4 linked regions of the Xenopus tropicalis genome follow. The protein of the gene in region 1 interacts with the protein of each later gene in a biochemical or structural test. Links are inferred from orthologs where the notes say so. Each region holds a gene or a part of one and is shown on either strand. Other genes may lie near its edges.

What was found.
Region 2: of the proteins of ehmt2 (region 1) and lig1, one has a biochemical effect on the other in vitro, tested with the Homo sapiens proteins (3 studies listed by BioGRID). The link is inferred for Xenopus tropicalis from reciprocal best matches to the Homo sapiens genes EHMT2 and LIG1.
Region 3: the proteins of ehmt2 (region 1) and cbx3 are reported together in a solved structure, tested with the Homo sapiens proteins (2 studies listed by BioGRID, with this or other methods). The link is inferred for Xenopus tropicalis from reciprocal best matches to the Homo sapiens genes EHMT2 and CBX3.
Region 4: the proteins of ehmt2 (region 1) and cbx1 form a complex in vitro, tested with the Homo sapiens proteins (2 studies listed by BioGRID). The link is inferred for Xenopus tropicalis from reciprocal best matches to the Homo sapiens genes EHMT2 and CBX1.

What each region holds. Positions count from the first base shown.
Region 1 is NC_030684.2:73,984,689-73,990,512, reverse strand, and holds part of ehmt2 (histone-lysine N-methyltransferase EHMT2), read left to right. Parts: intron 1-3,431; coding exon 3,432-3,563; intron 3,564-3,833; coding exon 3,834-4,030; intron 4,031-4,606; coding exon 4,607-4,691; intron 4,692-4,767; coding exon 4,768-4,838; intron 4,839-4,938; coding exon 4,939-5,088; intron 5,089-5,183; coding exon 5,184-5,231; intron 5,232-5,335; coding exon 5,336-5,444; intron 5,445-5,583; coding exon 5,584-5,682; intron 5,683-5,824. UniProt on the Homo sapiens protein: Histone methyltransferase that specifically mono- and dimethylates 'Lys-9' of histone H3 (H3K9me1 and H3K9me2, respectively) in euchromatin.
Region 2 is NC_030683.2:103,533,646-103,539,469, reverse strand, and holds part of lig1 (DNA ligase 1), read right to left. Parts: intron 5,531-5,824; coding exon 5,117-5,530; intron 4,430-5,116; coding exon 4,318-4,429; intron 4,110-4,317; coding exon 4,002-4,109; intron 1,992-4,001; coding exon 1,935-1,991; intron 597-1,934; coding exon 424-596; intron 1-423.
Region 3 is NC_030682.2:41,662,266-41,668,820, forward strand, and holds the start of cbx3 (chromobox protein homolog 3), read left to right. Parts: upstream 1-2,497; 5' UTR 2,498-2,543; intron 2,544-3,391; exon of another isoform or gene 3,392-3,415; coding exon of another isoform or gene 3,416-3,465; intron 3,466-5,799; coding exon of another isoform or gene 5,800-5,905; intron 5,906-6,341; exon of another isoform or gene 6,342-6,356; coding exon of another isoform or gene 6,357-6,371; intron 6,372-6,512; coding exon of another isoform or gene 6,513-6,515; coding exon 6,516-6,555.
Region 4 is NC_030686.2:11,720,791-11,727,354, reverse strand, and holds the start of cbx1 (chromobox protein homolog 1), read left to right. Parts: upstream 1-2,626; 5' UTR 2,627-2,748; intron 2,749-4,768; 5' UTR 4,769-4,798; coding exon 4,799-4,938; intron 4,939-6,535; coding exon 6,536-6,564. UniProt on the Homo sapiens protein: Component of heterochromatin. Recognizes and binds histone H3 tails methylated at 'Lys-9', leading to epigenetic repression. Interaction with lamin B receptor (LBR) can contribute to the association of the heterochromatin with the inner nuclear membrane.

The sequences.
Region 1 (5,824 bases):
CTTCCGTGATTTCACTGAAATCGCGCCACCGAGTATGCCATCCCACCAACGATTTACATTTTCGCCGGTGGGATGGCATTTCGGGGAGATTAGTCACCCGCGAACAGGGAGATTTGTCGCGGGCAACAAATCTCCCCGTGTGCCAGAGCCCTAAGCCTCCAACAGTGATTATTGCTAATGTAAGTGTACATTTAGATAAGGATGCCTTGCGGTATGTAAAAAGATTATGACATGTAAGTGTTTCTTTGCTGCTCTCTTATGGCGGCCTTTCATTCTCTCACACTCCCCGCATTACTGGCCGTGGGGGAGGGGTAGGGGTTCTGCTCTCCCCTCATTGCCGGTTTAAACTAATCCCTATACCCCCTACTTTCAGGTTTCCTTCTTTCGAGGTGCATACGGTTCAGCTGTTCCACCCTCTCTCTGTGCGGGTGACAGTTGTTTACAGACCTCCTTCTTCAAAATCCTTGGCTACGTTTCTCTCTGACTTTGAATCCTGGCTCTCTTTTTTTCTATGCTCTGACACCCCTGCAATCATTTTAGGCGACTTCAATTGCCATATAGATGACCCCTCTCAGCCCTGGCCCTCTCGATTTCTCCATCTAACCTCCTCCTTTGATCTCCGGCAATGGACTAATACAGCTACCCATAAGGATGGTCATTTTCTAGATCTGGTCTTTTCTAAAAATCTAGATCTATCTACATTTAACAGTGAGCCTTTTCCTCTTTCAGATCATCATCTTATCTCCTTTTCCATCTCGCACGTGTCTCATTCTCCCTCTAACTCTCAGCCTAAAACCCTGATTCGCAACACGCGAATGGTTGATATAACTGCTCTCTCTAACTCTCTTAGTTCTAGCCTCTCCTCCTCCTGTGCTTCCTCTGATCCTGAGTTACTGGTAAATACCTACAATTCAATTTTATCATCTGCAATTAACACCCATGCCCCCCTGCAGCCCCAACGCAGTCGTGCCCGCAATCCCCGTCCCTGGCTTAACCCTCAGACACGATTTCTGCGCTCCTGTGCACGATCTGCTGAGCGCATTTGGAGGAAATCACGTGTTAAAGCTGACTTCCTCCATTATAAATTTCTTATGGTGTGCCTCAATACTGCCCTATCCCAGGCCAAGCAAGCATACTATAACACACTTATAAATAATAATAAATCAAACCCGCGGCGCTTATTCTCCATATTTAACGCGCTACTTCATCCCTCACCTAATGAATCAATCATATCTGAACACACCCCCCAGGACTTTGCTGACTTCTTTAAAAGCAAAGTCGATTCTATCCGCAATCAATTTTCCCAACCCTCGGACACCGGTAATCTCAACCTTCCTAAATCTCCTCTCTCCGTATTCAGCTCCTTCAGTCTCGTAACAGAGTCTGAAGTTTCTCAGCTTCTCTGATCCTCTCCGCCTACTACCTGCTCGCTGGATCCTATGCCCTCGTCCCTGCTAAAACAGTGCCCCCCTGCCCTTACTCCAGCTCTTACCCACATATTCAATTCCTCTCTGGCTTCTGGTACTTTTCCCTCTCTCTTCAAACAAGCATGTGTCAAACCCATTCTTAAAAAGGCTACACTGGACCCGTCCTGCCTTTCTAACTACCGTCCCGTCTCTCTCCTGCCCCTAGCCTCTAAACTCCTGGAACGTCTTGTCTTTTCTAGTGTAACTAACTTCCTCTGCACCCATAATCTGCTGGACCCTATGCAGTCTGGTTTTCGGCCTGCGCACTCCACTGAGACGGCCTTATGTAGAGTGGCAAATGATCTCCAGACTGCCAAGGCCAAAGGACGCTACTCGGTTCTCATTCTCCTAGACCTTTCCTCTGCTTTTGATACTGTCGACCATTCTATTTTTATGCAAATTCTCCATTCTCTGGGTATCCGGGATCAAGCTGCATCCTGGTTCTCTTCCTATCTCTCTAACCGCTCCTTCTCTGTCGCTCTTACTAACAACTCCTCTACCCCGGTTCCGCTTAGTGTGGGGGTGCCTCAGGGCTCTGTGCTTGGTCCCCTGCTGTTCTCCCTGTACACTCTCTCTCTAGGAGACCTTATTTCTTCTTTTGGTCTTAAATACCACCTATATGCAGATGACATCCAGATATATTTAGACACCCCTGCACTAACTGCTGATGTCCAAACCCAGATTGGTAACTGCCTCCTGGCTATCTCCTCCTGGATGAACCGACGCCAGCTCAAACTTAACCTAGCTAAAACAGAGCTCATGGTCTTCCCGCCCAAACCTGGCCCTCCTCCTCCTCCTTTCACCATTACTATTGATGGCATGACCATCAACCCTGTAAATTCTGCACGCTGCCTTGGGGTTATCTTTGACCAGTCTCTCTCCTTCTCTAACCATATTAATAACACTGCCAAAACCTGCCGCTTTTTCCTCCGCAATATTGCCAAGATACGCCCCTTTCTTTCACAAGCAACAGCTAAAACACTAATCTATGCCCTTATCCTTTCCCGCTTAGATTACTGCAATCTCCTACTAACCGGCCTCCCAGACTCCCACCTCTCTCCCCTGCAATCAATCTTAAACTCTGCTGCCAGGATCCTCCTGCTCTCTCCCTAAGAGGGATCCTGCTCAGCCTTAATTAAGCTCACTAGCATGGCTGCCTGTCAAGCAAAGGATAGCTTACAAAATCCTTCTGCTAACATTCAAAGCCCTTCACTCCTCTGCTCCTCACTACATTTCTTCACTGGTCTCCCTACATGTTCCTGGTCGTCTCCTCCACTCCTCTCAGAGCATTCGTCTCTTTACACCATCCACACCCACTGCGCTCTCTCATCTTAAACCTTTCTATCTCGCTGCTCCTTACCTCTGGAACTCTATCCCTGAATCCCTCCGTAGGGAAAACTCACCCACTCTCTTTAAGAAAAAACTCAGCTGTTACCTTCTGGAGCACTAAAACATTATTTTGCCCAGTCCTGCGCTTTAGGGCAAATGCCCATACCTGATGCACTCTTACCTTCCAGTTTGTGCCTGTATGTTACCCAACCACTCAGATTGTAAGCTCTACGGGGCAGGGACCTCCTTCCTACTGTGTCTCATACCACATGGCACTGTAATTTTGTATTCTGTAAGACTGTGCAGCGCTGCGTACCCTTGTGGCGCTTTATAAATAAAGTTATACATACATACATACAAGGTGACATTGATCTGGGTAACGATATCACATAACCTTTGTCTATTAAGATTTAATTGAGTAGAGAATATGAATTATACCATGTTACATCAGTTTGTCTAAAGTTAACAATAATAATTTCTTTTGTTAAAATACACATTAACTCATATTCAACCTTTTTGTAGATTTTATACACAAGAAGAACTATACAGATTTTATTTAACCACTTTATGATAAAGTTTGTACACACAATGCAGATGCTAAATTCTTTTTTTGACAGAATCTCTTATCTTTGATAGGCGATGACAATGCTGAAGAGTTAAGTAACACCAGGGAAATTAGTCCAGCTGATGTGATTCCCACAGTAGAGGAGAAAGAAGAAACTGAGAAGGAAAGTGTAAACATCTCCCCGGTTGGGAGGGGACTTTCTGGTAAGTGTGGTTCTATGGCTATTAAGGGCTAAAAAAATAATAGGGAAGCTGAAGCTGAATCATTGAAGTAAGAAAGTAACAGATGATAAGGCAAATCATAGAAGCTACCTAGAGCTAAAAATGAGGTACCGCATTAATAGGAAGTGTGCTTTCACAGGCAACCAGTACTATGTAATGTTCCAGCATACTTTGCACGTGTTTTCTTTAATGACAATTTGATCCTTTGTTGAATCATTCTGACAATACTTAGTTCTCTCCCTTCTTTTCCAGGCCATGCCTCAAAGTCTCTGCCAACACCTCCTTCAACTTCTTCCTCACCTATTTCCAGCAGAGCCAAGATGTCTTTAACAGGAACTGGCAAGCTCCCCCACGCTGCACAGAGCTTGGCAATGAGACTCCTGAATATCACCAGGGATGGAGCAGACAAGGTGCATCGTGCTAGGAAAACCATCCCTCGAGCAGTAAATGTATGTTTGTGCACATGCTTGAGAGTAAAAAAAAAAAGGATTAGCTTTACAATGTTATAGGGACATATGCAGAGAGCTTAAACAGATGCAGATGTGGAACTTTATATTGCATTTCAATGAATGAGTGAAAAACTCCCTTTAAGTGTTTATACAGAATGGCAGCTTAAAAACCCCAAAGATTTATTCTGGTGAAAAGGTAGAAAGTGGTGGCTGCAGCAGATAGGAAATGAATCTTGTCTCATTCATTTGAATGAAATAAATTAGCTGATGGGGCCTGAAAAGTAGTGACTGGAACTGGCAGGATAACTACTGCAGTATTGGGATTAAGAGGCCAGCTGTGGAATTACACTATATGCTGAAAAACACAGCTGCTAGGACTTCAGGGTCCATAAGGCCAATTAACATTTTTTTGCATCATCTGCAACATACCTAACACCTTGTCTACAACCAGAAGGACTTTACAGGCTGAGGTTTAGCTCCTTTAGATGATGCTGACCCACTTTTTTACCCTTGTGACTACACAACTTTATTATGAATGAAAAGTCATATACATTTCTTTAATTAATATTTTTGCAGGTGCCTGGAAATGGAGTGCTTGTATCTGATGGAGAAAAACAGAGTGTCCGAAGAGAGAGTGAGATGGAGACGAGAGACAGCCCAGGTATGCACTTCAAGGGGTGTTAAGAATAATTACCTTTTTTTTTTGGTTCTAATGCTTTTAATATCTCTCTGCCCAGACTCTACACAGAAAAGATCTAGCTCTTCATTGGTGGCAGATATATCAGCCAACCAGTCCAGAGAAGTAGAGGTAAGTAAATGTTGTTTGTAGGCACGAAGATTGTTGTAGGTAAAGGACAATCACTGAATAATGGATTGTACTTATTCCCCTATCCCTCTAACATCCAAAGGTCTCCTCCTTGCTCCTTTCCCCTGAGCCTGGTTCTTCTAGGGACCCAGAAGGAGTAGATGCTGAAGAATGGGAGCCAGAAGTGGGGGCAGAGTTTAGTCTCTTCTACGATAGTTTTTCCCTGGAGGAGCAAGGAGACAGTGACAGCAAGGTGAGGAACACTTCGAATTTTGTTTAGATTTTTTAACTTTTGTGAATACCAAGTTAAGTGAATACCATTTCTACCATTATTTTTATTGTCTATAGGAGGAGGAGGATGAAGAGGAGGAAGGATCTGGCAACCAATCTGAACGGGTAATTAGATATTCTTTAATGTGAGGGCTATAGGCTACATCCTACAGATAATGAGCATAAGTGAGAAAAATTGGGTTTACTTAAAAAAGCTCTTCCTTAACCAGAGCTCAAGCAGCATGAAGAAAAAGACTAAGAAGAAGTGGAAAATGGACAAAGCCTGGCTGAAGCCGACAAGGAAAAGGAAACGTAGAGAGAGAGAGAAACCAGTAACAGGTACGCTCAAGGCAGGTGATGTTAAGGGGGGGTAAGTTGGAAGGAGGGAAAAAGTGGTGGGAGGAAACACAAGATAGGTGGTGAGTGCTCTTGTGGTAGTCACAGATCCACCACCCCTCTTGTTACCCCGCTCTTGTAGCTGTCAGTTCCGTGGGGGTATCAAACAGTGAGTACACAGAGGTGCCTCTGGGAGCCCTGGATCTACCCAGCGAGGGGACACTGTCTCCCAACCATGCAGGTAACTTAATTTGCCTGTTAACAAGCTATGGCTAGTAATCTAAGCACTGTCATCTTACAGCCACCTTGCACACACTCCTGCATGGCAGTGCTACATCCCACATCTGATATTCTGTGCCCCTTTACCCTTTTTCATGCAGTCT
Region 2 (5,824 bases), on another chromosome or scaffold:
AATTTGACCTATATTCACCTTTACCATTTACAAGACAACCCTGTAATGCATCATTAACAAATATAAAATTGATCTCTTTAATGGGAAGAAATGCACTTTTTCATCAGACATAGAAAGGGTAGTAAGGCAACAACCTATTAACCCCTGTAAAAACTATAATACTATAGTTTACTGTTGGAATAATAAAATACACAATGTAAACAAAGTGGATCAACAAAAAGGCACAGGTGGAAAAATGACTCCACCCAAACCTGAAACGCAACACACTGTTCTTTAATAGGTCCCAAAGTGCACTGCAGGTAATTAAGGTAGGGAATTCGGTCTTGTTCTTAAGAAACCTGACTGCATCTCAACTACACCCAGGGGAACATAAAACGAGTGGAACCTTAAAACTAAAAAGGACAATTTGAGACAGACTCATACCTGTAGCCTGGGCAACTGCTTTCATCAATATAGTTTCTCCTATGCCGAGCTCCAGTCCTTCATAGGCAGGTCCCAAGCGGTTCAGACAAAGATAGATGCAAGGCAAGAGGTCCCCAGGAGTGAGAGCAATGACGGAGCGCAGAAAATTACTGAGAGTCTCTATGTTCTTAAGTCTGAAGCACAGAATGATATTTAAAAGAGAACTTTTAATATTTTTCATTTATTTTGGAAAAAACGGGTCATATGGGTCATAGTAAGTGAAATTACCACAAGCCATTTATCAGTAGGCACTATAGAACTTAGAATTAAAAAATTAAATAGAAGTCTCTCCTCTAAAAGCAATAATACCATCTACTGACCAAAACAATTACTACAACTGCTAATAATGCTAAAATGACTGTGACTTGAATGCCCAAGAAGAAGAAACCAATGGGAAGTTTTCCAAGTAGTAAATAATAAGACACTACTGATGCTAGGATAGTCCCCACATGAGCATGAAAAATTTAAAATATTCTGGGGTGTAAATGCAATGCTAAAGACAGCATCATCTACTTCTGCTGCATGGCATCTATAAAGCGCTATTAAAGGTCATTTTAGAGATGTCCTCTTCTTGGTTGCAAATATATGCTAAACACGATAGTCTACATTATGGACAAGATGCTGTATTAATAGTGTCCATGTTTCGGCATTATTGTTGTTACCTGTTCTTTCCACTCTGAATTTTATAAATTGTTAAAGGGAGCACCTACCAACTGTAGAGAGACAAAGTAAAGTGCAGAGTGTGTACAGGATCAAAGTCAATATAGAAAATTACACTAATGGGAAAAACCCAAGCAATCCACAGCTTCCACCACTCACTTTTGCCAGATCAGATTAAAATACCGTATGTCAAAAGAAAAAAAAAGGGAAAAAGATTAAAATTCTAGGGTAGAGGCAGGATCATTGGTAGTCATATTCCTATACCAATAATGTCTTGAGGGTAGTTCATGGGGGGAATTTTAATAATAGTGACTATGGCGTTCAGGACACCTTCGATATCAGCTACCACATATTGCAACTGATAAATAGAGCTGGGCACAATAAGAATCCTATCTGTTCTGATGCTATACCTGCTATTTCAACAATCAATTAGGCACTCTGAGACATCCAGCCTACAGCCATCCCTTCTATCAAAAATCCACCCCCTATACCTCCCATCAACAACGATGAAGTTCACGACAGCTAAAAGTGGCTGACGCGCATTTTGCTCGGTCAGCTCAAGCTTTGTCAAAGGCTGACCGAGTGAAACGTGTGTCAGGCGCTTTTAGCTGGGGGTAGACAGGCAGGGTGTTAGGTGGGTGGTAGCCGATACTAAAGGTGTCCTGAACGCCACAGTCAACATACAAAGTTTTATTTAGTCACATATCTGATCTGGCAGAAGTGAGTGCAAGCTGTGGATCGCTTGGGTTTTTCCCACTAGTGTAATTTTCATAGAAAAGGCATATCACCTGTATTAATAATAAACTAATTACCGTGCAGATTCCTCTTCTATCCTCTCAAAGGTTCGTGCAACAGCAAGGTATGGCACCCTAGGACAAAAGAAATAAAACACAGCATTAAGATCCAAAGAACACAAAGATTGCCAAAAGCCATGTCTTTTTAACATTGCTGAGGGGAAGGTATTTCTTTTAGCATGTCACACTAAACCAAAAACTGCATTAAGAGGTTATCACTATCACTTTCAACTTCTAAAAGAACCCAAAAGTATTAAAGTAAAAATCCATACAATTTACTTTTGCAGAATAGTTCTTATAAGCAGAAAATATGCCCATAGAAATATATATAATGTATATAACTATAACAAAGAGATGTGCTGGTCATTATGGATCAATCCCCCTTGGTCTATACAATTTTGCCCAATACAATACTATATACATCTCAGCCTCCCTCACCATAAATATAAAGCAGCATTGTGCTTGCCTTGAAACAACAAGGTGATTGGTGGTGAGGAGGACATGGTTGATAATTTTGGCCATCTCTGGTGTAAAAAAATAAATAAATAAAAGTAACAATAATAATAAAATTGTAGCATTACAGAGCAAGTTTTTGGTTTTGAAAGCTGGAAAGAGGCAGAACAGAAAGGAAAATAATTTTAAACTATAAAACACAAATAAAACCAATTGCAAAGTTGCTAGAAATTGGGCATTCTATAACCTACAAAGAGTTAAATAAAAGGTGAACCACCCCTTTAAGGATTGATTAGAAAGACAAAAGCAGTTTCTTGGATTTCCAATGAACACTAAATATGGGACAGCAACGAATAATAAAGTGTCAAAGGCTGCAGATAGGTCTAGCAGAACTGACATAGTATTGGCTTCTGGATATAGCAGTGTGCCAATAGTTTGCTATTTTAGAAAGGGATGGGTGAGGGCAAAAACCAGATTGCAGTGGGTCTAGTAGAGAATAAGATTATAGAGATATAATGTGACTGTGTATGTGCTGTACATGCAGAAATTTTGAAGAGACAGGAAGGTGACAGACTGGCCAATAGTTAAAGAGAATTGTAGGTGGGAGATCGTACTGAAGTTGCCAGAGCAGAAATGTGAATAAGAATGGTAGAAGGAAACGCTTTTTTTATGGGTTAAAAAAAGGTGCTGTTCCAAACCCTGTCCACCCCTGACTGACAGTATTTAAAATCGCTATACTGTAATTTGCTATGTTGCATCCCCAGACTGATGAATTAAATGAATCTAAGAACAGGACATGAATTCACACCTAGTGCCTGTTATATGATAATGGTTTGGCCTCAGATATACCCAAGATGCAGTTAAGCTAGGGGTATGATAAGGTTTGTAACAGATCAAAGCAAAGCATGAACTTAGTGGGCAAAATCAGTTATGGCAACAGTACAGAAATTTATTAAAAAAACAATATAATCAGTATAACCATGAGTTAATGGTTGCTAGGGAAGAAGTTAAATCAATTTCAAGGGCAGAGGCTTTCAAGAGAAAAAGTCGGTTGATAAATCTCAAAGAATTTCCTGTTACCTCCTATGATACTAATTCTAGAGCGTGTAGGAACATTATTTTGAAGCATTGGTGAATTTTAAGAACAGACCCCAAATTTGGTCACCTCTTTAAATTAGCACAGTCAACTATATGCAATTATCATCCTCCACCCCCCAAAACTGAAAAAGGCAAAGATACAGAGAAAAACAAAAAAGAAACTTTATTGGCAAAACATGTTTTTACTCATGGACATAGTCTCTCAAGTAAGATGGCAGATACTTGAACAAGTTGTTACTAAACAGGGGTACAACTAAAAGACAATATTGCTTCAGAGCGAATTCTACTGGTTTTGATTTGGTTATTACAATCCCGACATCCTAAAGGCCTAAATGAGGACTAACTGAGGCCTAAATGAGGACTAACATGGCCTGTTTCTTATAATTTTTCTTTCAGATAAACAGTCTGCCTGAATATACGACAGGGACAGGTACTAGCTTCCCCCTGCAGATAAGTATGTTCTGGGATCTAATTTAGTTATAAGAATCCCATCAGAGAACAAGAACATTAAAAAGCAACAGCTACAAAACTTACTTCTGTCCATTAGACCAGCAAGCATCATTTATGGGGTGATAACTACTCTTGGATGGGTTATACACTGCCTGGTCTTCTGATGGTTCTGGCTTTATTGCTCCAAAGAAACTGAAATGGAAATAAAAAGGTCAGTAAGTTTTTGTGTACTAGAAAGATGTTTTCAAATGTTGAGGCATTTTAGAAATAAAAGTAATTAAAAAGTAAATAATTTAAGATTAACAAATCTGCCCTGTAACTATTGACAGTTACCTTTGAATTGCATGGCATGTCTTTCCTCTATTTTTCACAAATTATACCAGTTATTTGGAGGCCATACCTGCTAACTGTCTTTTTAGGTTTGGGGGATGCTTCCAAAGAGGTCTCACTTGCATTCTTTTCATTCATAATTTCCTCTTTTTTTTCTGTCTTTATTGCAGGTTTCTTTGGGGCTGTAGGTGAAAAAAATAATAAAACAAAACACATTTAGCCGTTACAAAGGTAATTAAGGCATGGGATCCAAAATCCAGAAATTCGTTATTCAGAGAGCTCCAGTTGAAAGGAAGGCCAATTCCCACAGACTCCATTTTAATTAAAAAAAATCTAATTTTCTCTGCTCTCTAATAATGAAACAGTAACTTGTACCGGATCCCAACTAAAATATAATTAATCTTCATTGCAGGCAAACCAGTCCTATTGTGTTTAATTAATGTTTAAAAGATTAGACTTCATGGAGACCCAAATTACAAAAAGACCACTCATCCAGAAAACACCAGGTCTCAAGCATTCTGGATAACTGGTCCCAAACCAGTTCCTGACAAAAAGTTTATTGTTCTTTATAAAATTAAATTTAATTTGTACTTTTAGATTTTTGCTTCTGGTTTTTTAACATGCACAAAGATTTCCCCAGTCAGAATGATGCATGGTTTTGGTTTAACTGCATTATAAGCTGCTTGGAACAATGCATCAGCAGGCAAAGACACCAAACTCTGTCAGTGATGTCTGCAGATAACCTTCACCCCACCCTTTATTTAAAGGTATTGTGTACATAAGGAATATTAGGGATGTCCAACAATCTTATAAAACGTTTAGCTTTTACAGTTTTAAGACCATGGCTCACAGTGGAATAAAGTACTCACCAAAGAAGCTGCTTATTTGTTTCACGGGTTTAGCAGGATCTGCTTTCTTCTCGGGCTCCTCATCACTTTTTTCCTCGCTACTTTTTCCTTCACTGTCATCTTTTGAAGATACCTTATCGCTAAATTTCACTTTCTTTTGCAATGGACTGTGTTTCTTTCCTGACTTTGCCTTTGGCGTTTTTGGCTTGGAATTAGGACTGGTAGATTTAGGCTGCAGTTCTTTATCTTTAGGCTCAGATTGTTCTCTTCCTGAAACATCATCCTTTTGGTCTAAAAGTTCCACATTCTGATCATCCACTTTGGATTTTTCTTCTTGAACCACTTCAGCATTTGCCTCTTTCTTTATGGAGCATTCCTCTTCCATGGAGATATTGTGACCTGTCTCCATGGGTTCTTCTTGTTGAACATTTCCCTCTGTTTAAATACAAAGACTATCAACTTAAATTCTGTATATCAATTATTGGCTTATGTAAAAGCTGTGATTCTGCACAAGGTTCTCACTCACAATAGGTTTTAATAAATAGTAGACATTACCACATGATGGCTATACTAGATAGATTTGCACAGGAAAAGCAGCTTATGCCATTTCATGTCAACCTAGTCATACGAATAAATACAACTTTATAAATCTGGTATGGTACATTTTGTAAACATTCAGAAAGCCCAAAAATATGGTAATGCCATTTCCCATAGTGTTCTCTTAAAAAA
Region 3 (6,555 bases), on another chromosome or scaffold:
CGGCGAGAATACGCTCGGAGCATTTGCATGAACGTTCCAAGCATTCGGGTCTTTGTAAATCTCCCCCATAATGTAGAGGCCCTTAATCTTACTGGACCAACGATGAAAGGTGGTTGGCAGTCCAAGGTCATTATTGGTGCTGAGGATTGCACATGGCTTTCTGCATTATCAGCACCATGGAAATCTTCTAGTTAATTATGCGCATGCATTGGGCTAGAACAACAGATGTGTGCATGTACCAAGCCTCAGAAACTGTTTTTGATAAAGTGATGTCTTTTTGTTTGTCTTAACTTCCCGTTAAAATTAAAAACCTGCTGCATTATTTTAAAGCACCTGTGAGATGGGATAAATCTTATTTTGTGGCTTTCCTTGTCCTTTAATGACATTAGCAGACACAGAATGTATGAATTTGGTGTTATTGGCGCCTTCCATCAGTTTGCTAGGAAGCTTAATTGGTGGTTTGCCACGGTTTTACAGCAAAATTCTGCAGTGCAATTGCACAAAATGTAAATGGTTTACATAAAGGAGAACAAGCTTGTTGCCAACAACAGTGTTAAAAGAAAAAGTGCATTAGTTATATACACCATTGCTTTACAGAAAAGTTGCATGGTTTATTCAGTTAAGAGTCATCTAGGTGACATTTGCATTGAACTTTTTATTCTGCTGGAGCGACCGCTATGCAAGAAGAGTTTGATAAATTGCGCAAAATTCTCTGGCCTCAGTTGCATGCAAAGTCTTTGCTTCAAAGGGCTCTCTTTGCATTTCTGTATAGTTGCACTTTGCACCACTCAGGCCTTCCTGTTCCATACTGAACGCAAATGTAATATTGATGCAGAGGAACCCTGGTGCTGCCATGTACGGACCAGGTGGTAGCTTCAGAGTTCCCTTTAGCACTCTGTGCCGCCTCAGGCATCCATGTTAATGCCGCCCCCTTGCGCTTAGCTTTGTTGCGTCAGTGGGGGGCTGCATTGCTAGTGCGGACAGCCGAAATTCTGATTTAAAAAACAGAAATTCAGCTCCTTAAAGGACAAGGAAAGGCTAAGTCACTTGGGGGTGCCAAAATGTTAGGCACCCCCAAGTGACTTTAATCGCTTACCTTGTACCCCAGGCTGGTGGCCCTGTTAGTAGAAAAGAGCAACGGCCAAGGGTACCTGTAGTGAGCGTTTCCTCCTTCCGGTTTCGTTTTGCAAGTACTACATGACAGGCGCATGCTCAGTAGAGTGAAAAAGCGACTTCTCTGTTAAAGTTCGGCTTTTCACTCTACTGCGCATGCGAAGATGTAAGGAGGAAGCGCTGCATCTACCTCGGGCTGGTGCTGTTCTCTCCGAACAGTGGCACCAGTCAGGGATAAAAGGTAGGCGATTTAAGTAACTTGGGGGTGCCCAACATTTTGGCACCCCCAAGTGACTTTGCCTTTCCTTCTCCTTTAAGTTACCAGGAGTGACTTTTGCTGCCCCTGGTAACTTGCCAGGCTCTGCCGTCTGAGGCGATAGGTGCAGGGGCACAGTTACTGTGAAGCGAGTTTAAAAACTCGCCTCAGGCAGCAGCACCCCCGAAGTTACCAGGGGAGGCAAATAGCCGCTCCTGACAACTTTAGGAGCCAAATTTCTGGTTTTTAAAAGGGAAATTTTGCTGCACTATAGCAGAGATTGCCATGGCACTCTCTACACTAGCGATGTGGCATGCCTGGACCCCCTCCCGTGCTGTAAAGGCATGGTAGGAACCTCCTCAGGTGGCTCAGGGGCAAGAAACACCCCTGGATAGGTGCAGTGCACTTGCATCTAGAGAATAGGTTCCTGACACTCTCATATTAAATGGACAGAATTTTTTTTAGCGCAATTGCATCTAATTTACAGCAAAGTTTGCCTGAAATTGCACTTGGCAGACTGCCCTGCACTTGTAAGCATAAATATTTTCTGTGTAGGTGATGTGACTGCTCAGCTGCCAGTGTATACCTAGAACGTCCAGATGATGAAACGCATACACTGGACAGACAGGGGAGTGCCTTCGTAAAATACACGAAAATGGCGGCCTAGTGAAGTGAAATATGTGTCAATGCCACATATTTCAAGCATTTTTTTTTTTTTTTTATTATTTGCAAACAAAACGACATGTATCAGTCAGACACCTACACGAGGAGCGACAGAGGCGGGCGGAGCCTGGGACCTACCTTTCAACACGTGACTCACTACTATTAAATATATAATTCGGGTTTTCTTTTATCATTAAGACCCTGACTTCATGGGCTCTTCAACTACACCCGTGTAGATTGTACCGGAATTGACATTAACTGCCCTCAAGGCAGGCTGTCCTATTTTGTCAGGGTGCCGCTTCCCTTAGACCCATGGTATTGAAAGAGTTACTGTTCGCGCCAGTAAATTCCCCGCCAGTGTGTTGGTAGGGCCCATTGTTCTGCGCGTCACTCGGGCCCTCCCACTCCTGCGCACATCGGAGCTGCAGGCAGCCGCGGCTTGGAGAGCGTTTCTCGGTGTGAGGGGGACGGAGCAGGAGTCACCGGGTGCTGGTTATCCAAAGAGAGTGAGGTACGGGGATGAGAGAGAGGAATGTTGTACCCGGGGGCATGAGGAGGGAGAGGAGCAGCATGGGAGAAGCACGGCCCGGCAGGGTTGGGGAGGCGGGAAAATTGCTGCTAGTTTGGGAGAGAAGCGGAGGCCTGCTGCAGAGTAGCAGCACAGACCAATGGGTGGGAGGCATTGTGTAAGGGCGGGGAGGCCGTTCTGCAAACATACTGCCTTGTCTTCAATTGCTGCTCACCGCTACCTGGGCTTGTTGGGAGCTGTAGTTCAACGGCAGAAAAAGTCACAACTTTCTATTTCACGTATATATCTTGCCGAATGAAGAGCGGCCCCCTAGCACTTATATGACGCTAGCAGTGTTAGTGGTATTCCGCCAGTATTCCCATGCCCGGTGCAGCGCACAGTAACTCTCACATAGTGCTAGGATGGATACCCCCTGAGTTTCTCTGTATCACTGGGTTTCTTTACAATGAAGCTAATGCTGTTCGGTACGGGGGGTGCGCAGGCGCGAAGGTTCGTGGCCTCTAGGTGGTTAGTAGGGAAAGTAAAGGGTATACAGGGCAATGGCTACCCGGGCTGGACAATCATAGGGAAAGCTCGGTGCCGCTGGTTATAATGGTTTCCAACTGTGCCATGCAGTTTCCCCTGCGACAGTCTAATCTCTAGTTTCCGTGAATGTGTGTTCCTCATCTCCCTCCGGAATACATTCGGTTAATCAATCATGTTGCGGCTCATTCACATGTACGCATGCGTGTTGGAGGGGGTGGGGGATGCTTTTGCTTTCCGGCTTGGGAGGTGAAGCGGCGTAAAACTTTATCTGGATGCACGTTGCGCAGAGCTGCTTTCACGCTAATGTTGTATGGGGGGGCGGGGGGGTTATGGAGTCTCGCACGGCAGTCACAGCAGAAAATTCCTGCCTTTGTTTCTGGTATGGCAGAATTTCGCCTCACGGCAGACCGCTTTCTCATTTCAAGGGACAGTGTATCCCGTGTTTATAGGATTGGCTTAGTGATAAGGGCGTGTGCTGAAAGGAGACTTATCATAACAAATTAAGAATGTACTAGTGAATTATACTTTAAATATAGAAGGATTGTGCTTTAAAATAGTTGTTTCAGACTGATTTATTGAAACATTATACACAGACCCCTCTAGTCCCGCCCATCTGTTCCACTTCCTGCAGGCTGAAATCTCTGGATGTGCAGGGGAACCACTGGCTCTTGGCACACTGCACTGTAGGATAGGAACCTACGCTAGGCGGACCCAATAGGGAACTGAAGTATGTCTTTGCTTGTGAATTCAACTGTTAGGATACTCCCGCCCTTCATTTGAAGCACAGAAGACTGATAGGATCTACATGGAGCTCCAGTAAAGGAGACCTTTTTACAGATAGGATTAATTTTTAGCCCGAAGTGACACCAGCACCATATAGTATTCATAAGTGCCTACAAAATTAGGGGTTTTTCCACTTATCCAATGTCTCATTGAACTTCATTTTTCCCTGTGTTAATTATTTATATTGTTTTATTCTTCTTTGCACTAAACAGGCCAGAATCTTCAGGTAGTCACTTAGAGGTGTTTAGATTAGTCCTTTTTCTGGAGCAATGAATTGCCTTTTGAGTGCTGAACCTGTTCTAATAATCAAATGAAAAACCAGTCTCTTAAGGTTTGGGATAATACCCCATAGTTTCCAGTGAAATTAAATCTCAAGAAAACCTAATTGACAGAGGTTAGGTTTTTATTTTTATCTCTGGAATAAAAATGTGCCAGCCTAGAGCTCTTTAAGTAGCAGTGATACCACAATACTGCACTTTTCCCTGGAATTCCTAGTGTAAACAGACTAGCACAAGCACGGTATACTACCATTGGAAAATTTTTATTAAACTGGACATGTGCAAGTTTGTGCTAGGAATCCTTGGGTAAAGTCTGGCACTTTTTGTGAGAATAGTTGGCCAAAGAAATAATTTTCTAACTTATTGGCACCCTTGTGCTTTAACATTATAACTTACTACATAGCAGGGAGCTAGCACCTAATTGTAAGCATAATACAGTTTGTGTTGGGATAATTTTGATAAGGCTGTGAAAAAGTGGTGCATATTGTCTTTGGAATGGTGCTCACAGTATTAGGGGCTGTTCCTTTACAGAAGAGGAGTGTTTCTATTAGGTTAGGTAGGATCAAGCATAGCAGCTATCAGTGGGCAGTGCTGGCACGGTGTGTACTGTGCTAAGAACTTGTACTGTATGTAATCAGGGAGCAGGAGGCTGGAAATTCTCTCATGTGACCAACAGTCTGAAGTGCCATTTTACACTAATGTTAACAGGAAAGTTTGAAATGGAGAGTACTAATTGCATATACAATTATTGGTTTATATTGATAACTACTGTATTAATAATGCATGTCTTGTAACATATGTTTCTGATATCTAAATGTCTCTTAAAGGGGTAGTGCACCCCAGTGAATAGGGCTTGTGCCAAATGCACTTCTATCTTATTTAAGAAAAACATTCTTGTGATTTCTTGTAGTAAACTGGCACAATCTAAAACAAAGTTGCATTCTACTTCCTGGCTGTATAATTAAGGTCAAAACAGATCTGCGTTCTACTGCTGTTCCTTATCTCTGTCTTACAGGCTGCAGCTGGGCAAGGAATCTTAGTGGGCAACTGATTTGTTTTGACCTTGATTGTAGGGACGGGAACTTTGAATGAAAGGGAACCCAAATGAAAATATCTGCTTTTGTTTTGTGCAAGAAATCTCAATTGTACCAACTAATTGCCCTGCATGTCTTTGCCCTTAAGTTACTTATTCTGCCACAGGCTAGCTGCAGTGAGTCAGACCAGATATAGTCTGTCTGGCTTTAGGCCACAAGGAATTTATTCAACTTAGTGTATGCCTTTTATAGAAAGGCTGCAACTGCAATGGGACCTATATGTAATTCATTAAGCATGCATTTTGTGCATGTTTATCTTAAAGGGGCTGTTTACTTTCCAAACACACTCGAGCTTAGTTTTTTTCTGGTGTACTATGTGAAAACGCTTGAACTGAAATCTGTTTGGAAGGCAAACAGCTTCTTTTTAAAATTGTTTTAGTTATAAACTGATGTGTGGTTAAAAATTTCTACATGCTGTCAGGACCTGATAATGGCTAGACCTTAAAGATGCATTGCATGCTAAAATATGTAACTTTGCTGTTGATGTAGCAGATGTGAGTGTTAACCACCATTTGTACTTGTGAACATTCATTTGTAGAAACTGTTTTTGATTTATAGGTTTGTTTATTTTTGCTGGGCTAATAATCCTAGCAGCCAGGCAGTATTTTGGAAGTCAGAAGTAAAGATGAAGAGTGGAGGACTTCCACAATTAGAAATTAACATGGTAACAATCTGATTTCTAGCTTCTATTTCTAGTATATTATATAGCATATGTGAAGGACTTATGTTGTAAGACAGGCAGTATTGTTTTGAGGGGGGGGGGAGCATCCCTCTCTTTGAGGGCATAAACAATATTACGTGTGCACTTTAGTTTGACATACATACATTATTGTCAAGCAATTATCTGGTTTCACCTTTTAAATAAGTTCTTAAGTGTCCCTTAACTTTAGTGCTCTAATGCTTTCTATGTTAAAGGGAAAATATACCTTATTCTTGACATGTAGAATAAGTAGTATCTGAACTTTCAAATTGTAATAAAATAATATATTTATATTTACAGACATCACCTTTCATTAGGAGGTGATTAATTCTGCAAATTGAAGTCCCTCTGCTTTCCGTAGCGGGTGGTGCACATTCTCTGGGAAGCTGTGGGATTTTCGCAGAATCACTTCACAATGGAACAAAGATGGGTATATTTGCCCTTTAAGCCATTGGTCGAACTATTAAGATGTACTAAATTTTTTTTTTTTTTTTTTTAAATGTACCTTTTGAGTTTCCTTCTTACAAAATAGATATGTATACTTAACCAATATATATTTCTTTTTCCACAGACCATGGGAAAGAAACAGAATGGCAAGGGCAAGAAAGTGGAGG
Region 4 (6,564 bases), on another chromosome or scaffold:
CATACCTACCCACCCCCCAGTCTCACACTCCAGTGCCATACCTACCCACCCCCCCCAGTCTCTCACCCCAGTACCATACCTACCCCCCCCCCCAGTCTCTCACCCCAGTGCCATATCTACCCACCCCCAGTCTCACACTCCAGTGCCATACCTACCCCACCCCCCCCAGTCTCTCACCCCAGTGCCATACCTACCCACCCCCCCAGTCTCTCACCCCAGTGCCATACCTACCCACCCCCCCAGTCTCACACTCCAGTGCCATACCTACCCACCCCCCAGTCTCACACTCCAGTGCCATACCTGCCCACCCCCCCAGTCTCTCACCCCAGTACCATACCTACCCCCCCCCCCCCAGTCTCTCACCCCAGTGCCATACCTGCCCACCCCCCAGTCTCACACTCCAGTGCCATACCTACCCCACCCCCCAGTCTCACACTCCAGTGCCATACCTACCCACCCCCCCAGTCTCTCACCCCAGTACCATACCTACCCCCCCCCCAGTCTCTCACCCCAGTGCCATACCTACCCACCCCCAGTCTCACACTCCAGTGCCATACCTACCCACCCCCCAGTCTCACACTCCAGTGCCATACCTACCCACCCCCCCCAGTCTCTCACCCCAGTGCCATACCTACCCACCCCCCCAGTCTCTCACCCAGTGCCATACCTACCCACCCCCCCCAGTCTCACACTCCAGTGCCATACCTACCCACCCCCCAGTCTCACACTCCAGTGCCATACCTACCCACCCCCCCAGTCTCTCACCCCAGTACCATACCTACCCCCCCCCCCAGTCTCTCACCCCAGTGCCATACCTACCCACCCCCCAGTCTCACACTCCAGTGCCATACCTACCCACCCCCCAGTCTCACACTCCAGTGCCATACCTACCCACCCCCCCCAGTCTCTCACCCCAGTGCCATACCTACCCACCCCCCCCAGTCTCTCACCCCAGTGCCATACCTACCCACCCCCCCAGTCTCACACTCCCAGTGCCATACCTACCCACCCCCCAGTCTCACACTCCAGTGCCATACCTGCCCACCCCCCCAGTCTCTCACCCCAGTACCATACCTACCCCCCCCCCCAGTCTCTCACCCCAGTGCCATACCTGCCCACCCCCCAGTCTCACACTCCAGTGCCATACCTACCCACCCCCCAGTCTCACACTCCAGTGCCATACCTACCCACCCCCCCCAGTCTCTCACCCCAGTACCATACCTACCCCCCCCCCCAGTCTCTCACCCCAGTGCCATATCTACCCACCCCCCAGTCTCACACTCCAGTGCCATACCTACCCACCCCCCCCAGTCTCTCACCCCAGTGCCATACCTACCCACCCCCCCAGTCTCTCACCCCAGTGCCATACCTACCCACCCCCCCCAGTCTCACACTCCAGTGCCATACCTACCCACCCCCCAGTCTCACACTCCAGTGCCATACCTGCCCACCCCCCCAGTCTCTCACCCCAGTACCATACCTACCCCCCCCCCCAGTCTCTCACCCCAGTGCCATACCTGCCCACCCCCCAGTCTCACACTCCAGTGCCATACCTACCCACCCCCCAGTCTCACACTCCAGTGCCATACCTACCCACCCCCCCCAGTCTCTCACCCCAGTACCATACCTACCCCCCCCCCAGTCTCTCACCCCAGTGCCATACCTACCCACCCCCCAGTCTCACACTCCAGTGCCATACCTACCCACCCCCCAGTCTCACACTCCAGTGCCATACCTACCCACCCCCCCCAGTCTCTCACCCCAGTGCCATACCTACCCACCCCCCCAGTCTCTCACCCCCAGTGCCATACCTACCCACCCCCCCCAGTCTCACACTCCAGTGCCATACCTACCCACCCCCCAGTCTCACACTCCAGTGCCATACCTGCCCACCCCCCCAGTCTCTCACCCCAGTGCCATACCTGCCCACCCCCCCAGTCTCTCACCCCAGTGCCATACCTACCCACCCCCCCAGTCTCTCACCCCAGTGCCATACCTGCCCACCCCCCCAGTCTCTCACCCCAGTGCCATACCTGCCCACCCCCCCAGTCTCTCACCCCAGTGCCATACCTGCCCACCCCCCCAGTCTCTCACCCCAGTGCCATACCTGCCCACCCCCCCAGTCTCTCACCCCAGTGCCATACCTACCGACCCCTTCCCATTCCAGCTTTAACTGTGCAGCGACTATAAAAACAGTGAAGTGATTCCCGGGCTCCACACTGAGGGGCTAAATCTGTGCCGGACCAGGCAGCAGCCTTCACGCCTACTAGCCACTAACATGGCCCCACACAGCCAGCAGCCTTCACGCCTACTAGCCACTAACATGGCCCCACACAGCCAGCAGCCTTCACGCCTACTAGCCACTAACATGGCCCCACACAGCCAGCAGCCTTCACGCCTACTAGCCACTATCATGGCCCCACACAGCCAGCAACAGATAAGCTCATTAAACACTGCCCACTCGGCCCGTACATGGCTCCCAGGGAAAGAACTACACTTCCCGCCATGCTAGGCGGCTCTCCCCCCGCGCATGCGCACTCCCCCGATCCCTTGGCGGCAGCGCTGCTTCTTTTGTTTGGAGGCGCCACATCCTTAGAACCGAACCGGATCGGGACGCACAGGAATCAATTTGTTCTGTTCATTCAGGGGATCGGAACCCGCTCCAATAGCCGAGAAGAAAGCGAGCTCCAGCCGCGCAGCCGGACCGATCCCAGGCCCCAGGCACCGGGGAGCCCAAGCAAGCGGCGGGTAAGGGCGGCCTGATCCCCGCATGTGCGCCTTCTCTCCCTACTGCCGGACTGCCCCCTCCCATTCCTCTGGGAAACGGGCCGCTGAGCATGCTGGGATTTGTAGTGCGTAACATGCAGCCAGCAACGTTCTGTTATTCGCACACAAACAAGTTCTTGCAACTTAATTCACTAGTGATTTGCCTCCATCAACCTGTAGCATTCCAACTGCTCTGAAAACTACACTTCCCAGCATTCCCAGCACAGGGTATAACTTGTTACAGGGATTTCACAAGTCCATGTTTGCACTATGGATGTAGCTTTGTTTCCCAGGGTTTTGTGGGGGATGCTGGGAGTTGTAGTCAGTGGCCCACTCTTGGTACAATGTTCTTCCCAAACTTTATGCATAGTGCCCAGTCACATGGTGGCTCCTATCCCCAGGGGGTAAGGTTGGCATATTATCCCCCAGATGCACCCAAGGCCCTGTGTGCGCACATTGCACCTCAGGCCACAAAACCTGAATTCTGCACGTCTGGCCCATAGAAAAGCAGAGGGAATGTTGGCTGTGGGGCCCCACACTCGCAGGGCTGCAGTAGCCAACGTGATGTAACCTCCGGCCAGGGGAATGTGAGGGGCAAACACTCCCACACAGCTGGTATTATTTGGCTGCAGAGCTTTCATTCTTTGGGAGCCATAATTAGCTTTGTACATTGTGTGGGGAGTCGCTCACTCAGTAGCAAAGTGCAGAAATAGAAGAGGCTGCAGAATGGGGGCAAAGGAGCAAGTTCCTGAGGTGAAATGCATATAGCATGTGTGTAACAGAGCCAGGCGGGGGGGGGCAATGCCAGGCTGGGGGGGGAGTGTTAGCTCTAAGCCAGGCAGCCTGGCACGTGGCACAGCTTCACTCAAGGCTACTCCTATTCATTCTGTGCACTGTGTCTGCATGGCTACCAAATGTATTGCACGTTTAGGGTCTGGATTATTTTGAATGAATAGTCTGTGGAGCCCTGTAATACAGGGGTCCCCAACCACCGGTCCATGGGCTGTGCTGAACCGGGCCACCTCTGGTCCCAATTACCCGTGATCCCAACTCCCTGATGCGTTACACAGCCATGACAATAGCTATGCGGAGCCCAGGAAGATTTCTACTGATCACGACAAGGACCAAAGTACTTTATTAAGCTGTATGCAATAATAATAATAATAATAATAATAATAACGTGCATAGTATGCACTAGTTGCGCCACACCCCCCCATCCCCGGTCCTTGGAAAAATTGTCTTGCTTGAAACCGGTCCGTGGTGCAAAAAAGGTTGGGGACCACTGCTGTAATAGATCCTGAGGCCATAACAATCCCATGGAGGGAAACATCTGGCCCTGGGGACCCTCCGCCTGGACAGCAGGGCTGTAGGAGTCAAGCCGGAGCCTTCAGTAAAATCTTGTCTGTAGTCCCAGGCTACATTATACCGTCTCCTTTATGGGTCTCCCAGAGCTTGCAGTCTAATCTGCGCTGTCTCGGCGCTGCAATAGGGATCAGTTATGTGAATCCGAGACAGTCTGTGACATCTGCAGCTGTGTCGTATCTCTCACACATCGGCTCAGGCCATTAAAGGGGATGTTTGCATGAACTCTTAGTGTGTTGTAGATAGACCTATGAACAACTTTTCGCTTGACCTTTATTATTTATTTTGTATATTTCGGTTTTGTTATTTCCTGCCGGCAGCTGAAAATTATGACTGGGTGTTGGGGGTTCATCACTACCATCAGTCCCTGACAGTAGAGCTTACAATCTAAGGTACACGCACTAGGGTCGCTTTTATTAGAAGCCGAATAACCTGCCTGTATGGTTTTGGAGTGTGGGAGAGCCACGCAGATATAAGGAGAACATACATATTTCATGCGGATGTGTGCCCTGGCTGGATTCAAACATGTAACCCCACACAGTAATGCAAACTACATACACATATAGGGAATTATGTACCCCCTTATGTAAAGCATAAGGATATTATAAGTCACCAAGTTCTCCTCTTTCTTCCCATGCAGCTCCATTAAGCAGATAAACTGGCGACCTCCATGGGAAAGAAGCAGAACAAGAAAAAGATGGAAGAGGTTGTCGACGAGGAGGAGGAGGAGTACGTGGTGGAGAAGGTCCTGGACCGACGGGTGGTGAAAGGGAAAGTGGAGTATCTCCTGAAATGGAAAGGTTTCTCTGAGTAAGTGCTGCTCCATGGTTTCTTGTCCTTATGCGCTGCTAATGCACATTGAACCGGTAAGGGGAGCGTTCATAAACCTGCACGCCGCGTCTGTATTACTGTAAAATATTACAGGTATGGGGTCTCTTATCTGGAAACCTGATATCCAACCGATCAGGAAAAAAACAAAAGGGGAAGTAAACACAAATATTAGTGTTCATTATGACAACTTACATCAAAAGTTAAACTGAGACTCCTCCCCCCCCCCCCCCCAAGGAAATCTTGTATCCACCGATTGGCTAATTTTTTTTGTTTTTTATTTCGCCTTAAAAAGTGACTCAGCCTGCCATTGAGTGTGAGGGAAGCCCAAAACGCCTAAGGCTTTACTCATGGGTTAATAACTTTTTTTTACAGCTGAATATGAGGGATTTTAACCAGCGTCTGCTCATTGTACTTTTTTGCTCCCCGTTATTGATCCCAACTGATATCTATATACTGTGGCTGCTGGTTGGTTCTTCAGTTGCTGTGTTTATCAGAGGTTCTGAGTGGAATTCAAATGGGCCTTTTGCCACCTTTCTTATCTCAGGCAGCCAATGTTTGCAGCACAGCCATACAGTGTACTGTTAAAGAGGATCTGGGGTTCTGATTGGGTGTAGATATGTTACCAGCTCAGCATCTGACTCAATATTATACATGTGTATTACATACGGATGCCTCTATGATGGGTGTATGGAGGGCTCCCTGCACAGGGGTACCCAGTATTACACATGTGACTGGGGGAACCTGAGCAATTCAGAGGCCAATTGGTCTGACCCATAGTAGTGTATCTTCAGCAGAACCAATTACTGAACCCTGTAATTACCACTAAGGCTGCAGGGGTTATAGATAAGGGGCTTTAGCCTGGCACTTATAGAGTTAAATTTGCCCACTGCCAGGAGCTGCCACAGAGAAAATCATACGTTCGACAGTAAAAATATGTTTCATGTTTTTTTTTAGTACAATTGTCATATTTGTAGCAACTTTTCTGTTGGTCTTCATTTTTAGCAGTGTTTGAATTATTTGCCTCTTTCCAGCTTTCCAATGGGGGGGGTCACTGACCCCAGCAGCCAAAAAGCTATTGTCGGCAAAGGTCAGCAAGGCTGCTGCCTTGTGTTTTTTTTATTGCTTCAAAAGTCAGAACCCCCAAAGCAGGGAATAGAAAAGGACAAATGCAACTTCTAATAGCAATTATATATACAAATAAGCTGCTTAGAATTATGTTTTCTTTTATTGGGCAAAAATTATATTTTGGCTTGACTTGCCTTTTAAATAAAACACCCTAAATAGATAAAGATAGTTCAACCGGTGATTGAGGCTGGGATTGAGCTGAGAGTTGTATTTCAGTGACGGCTGGAGGGCTTCATCTTGGACATGGGCGATACAGGTCCTTTACTAGGGCCACTATATTCTCTTTAGTGCCGGCCGTGCCCATTAGATATTACCCTGCAGCTTGGCGTGCCCGGCCCCTTCCCAATGCGGAAGAAACTTGGTTGCAGTTGCAAAGCAACATTGCGCAGTTTGGATGAAGGGTCTTATTGTGGGGGGGAGAGAATTCTGTGAATCCCTGTGCTGTTTGCAGCGACGATAACACCTGGGAGCCGGAGGAGA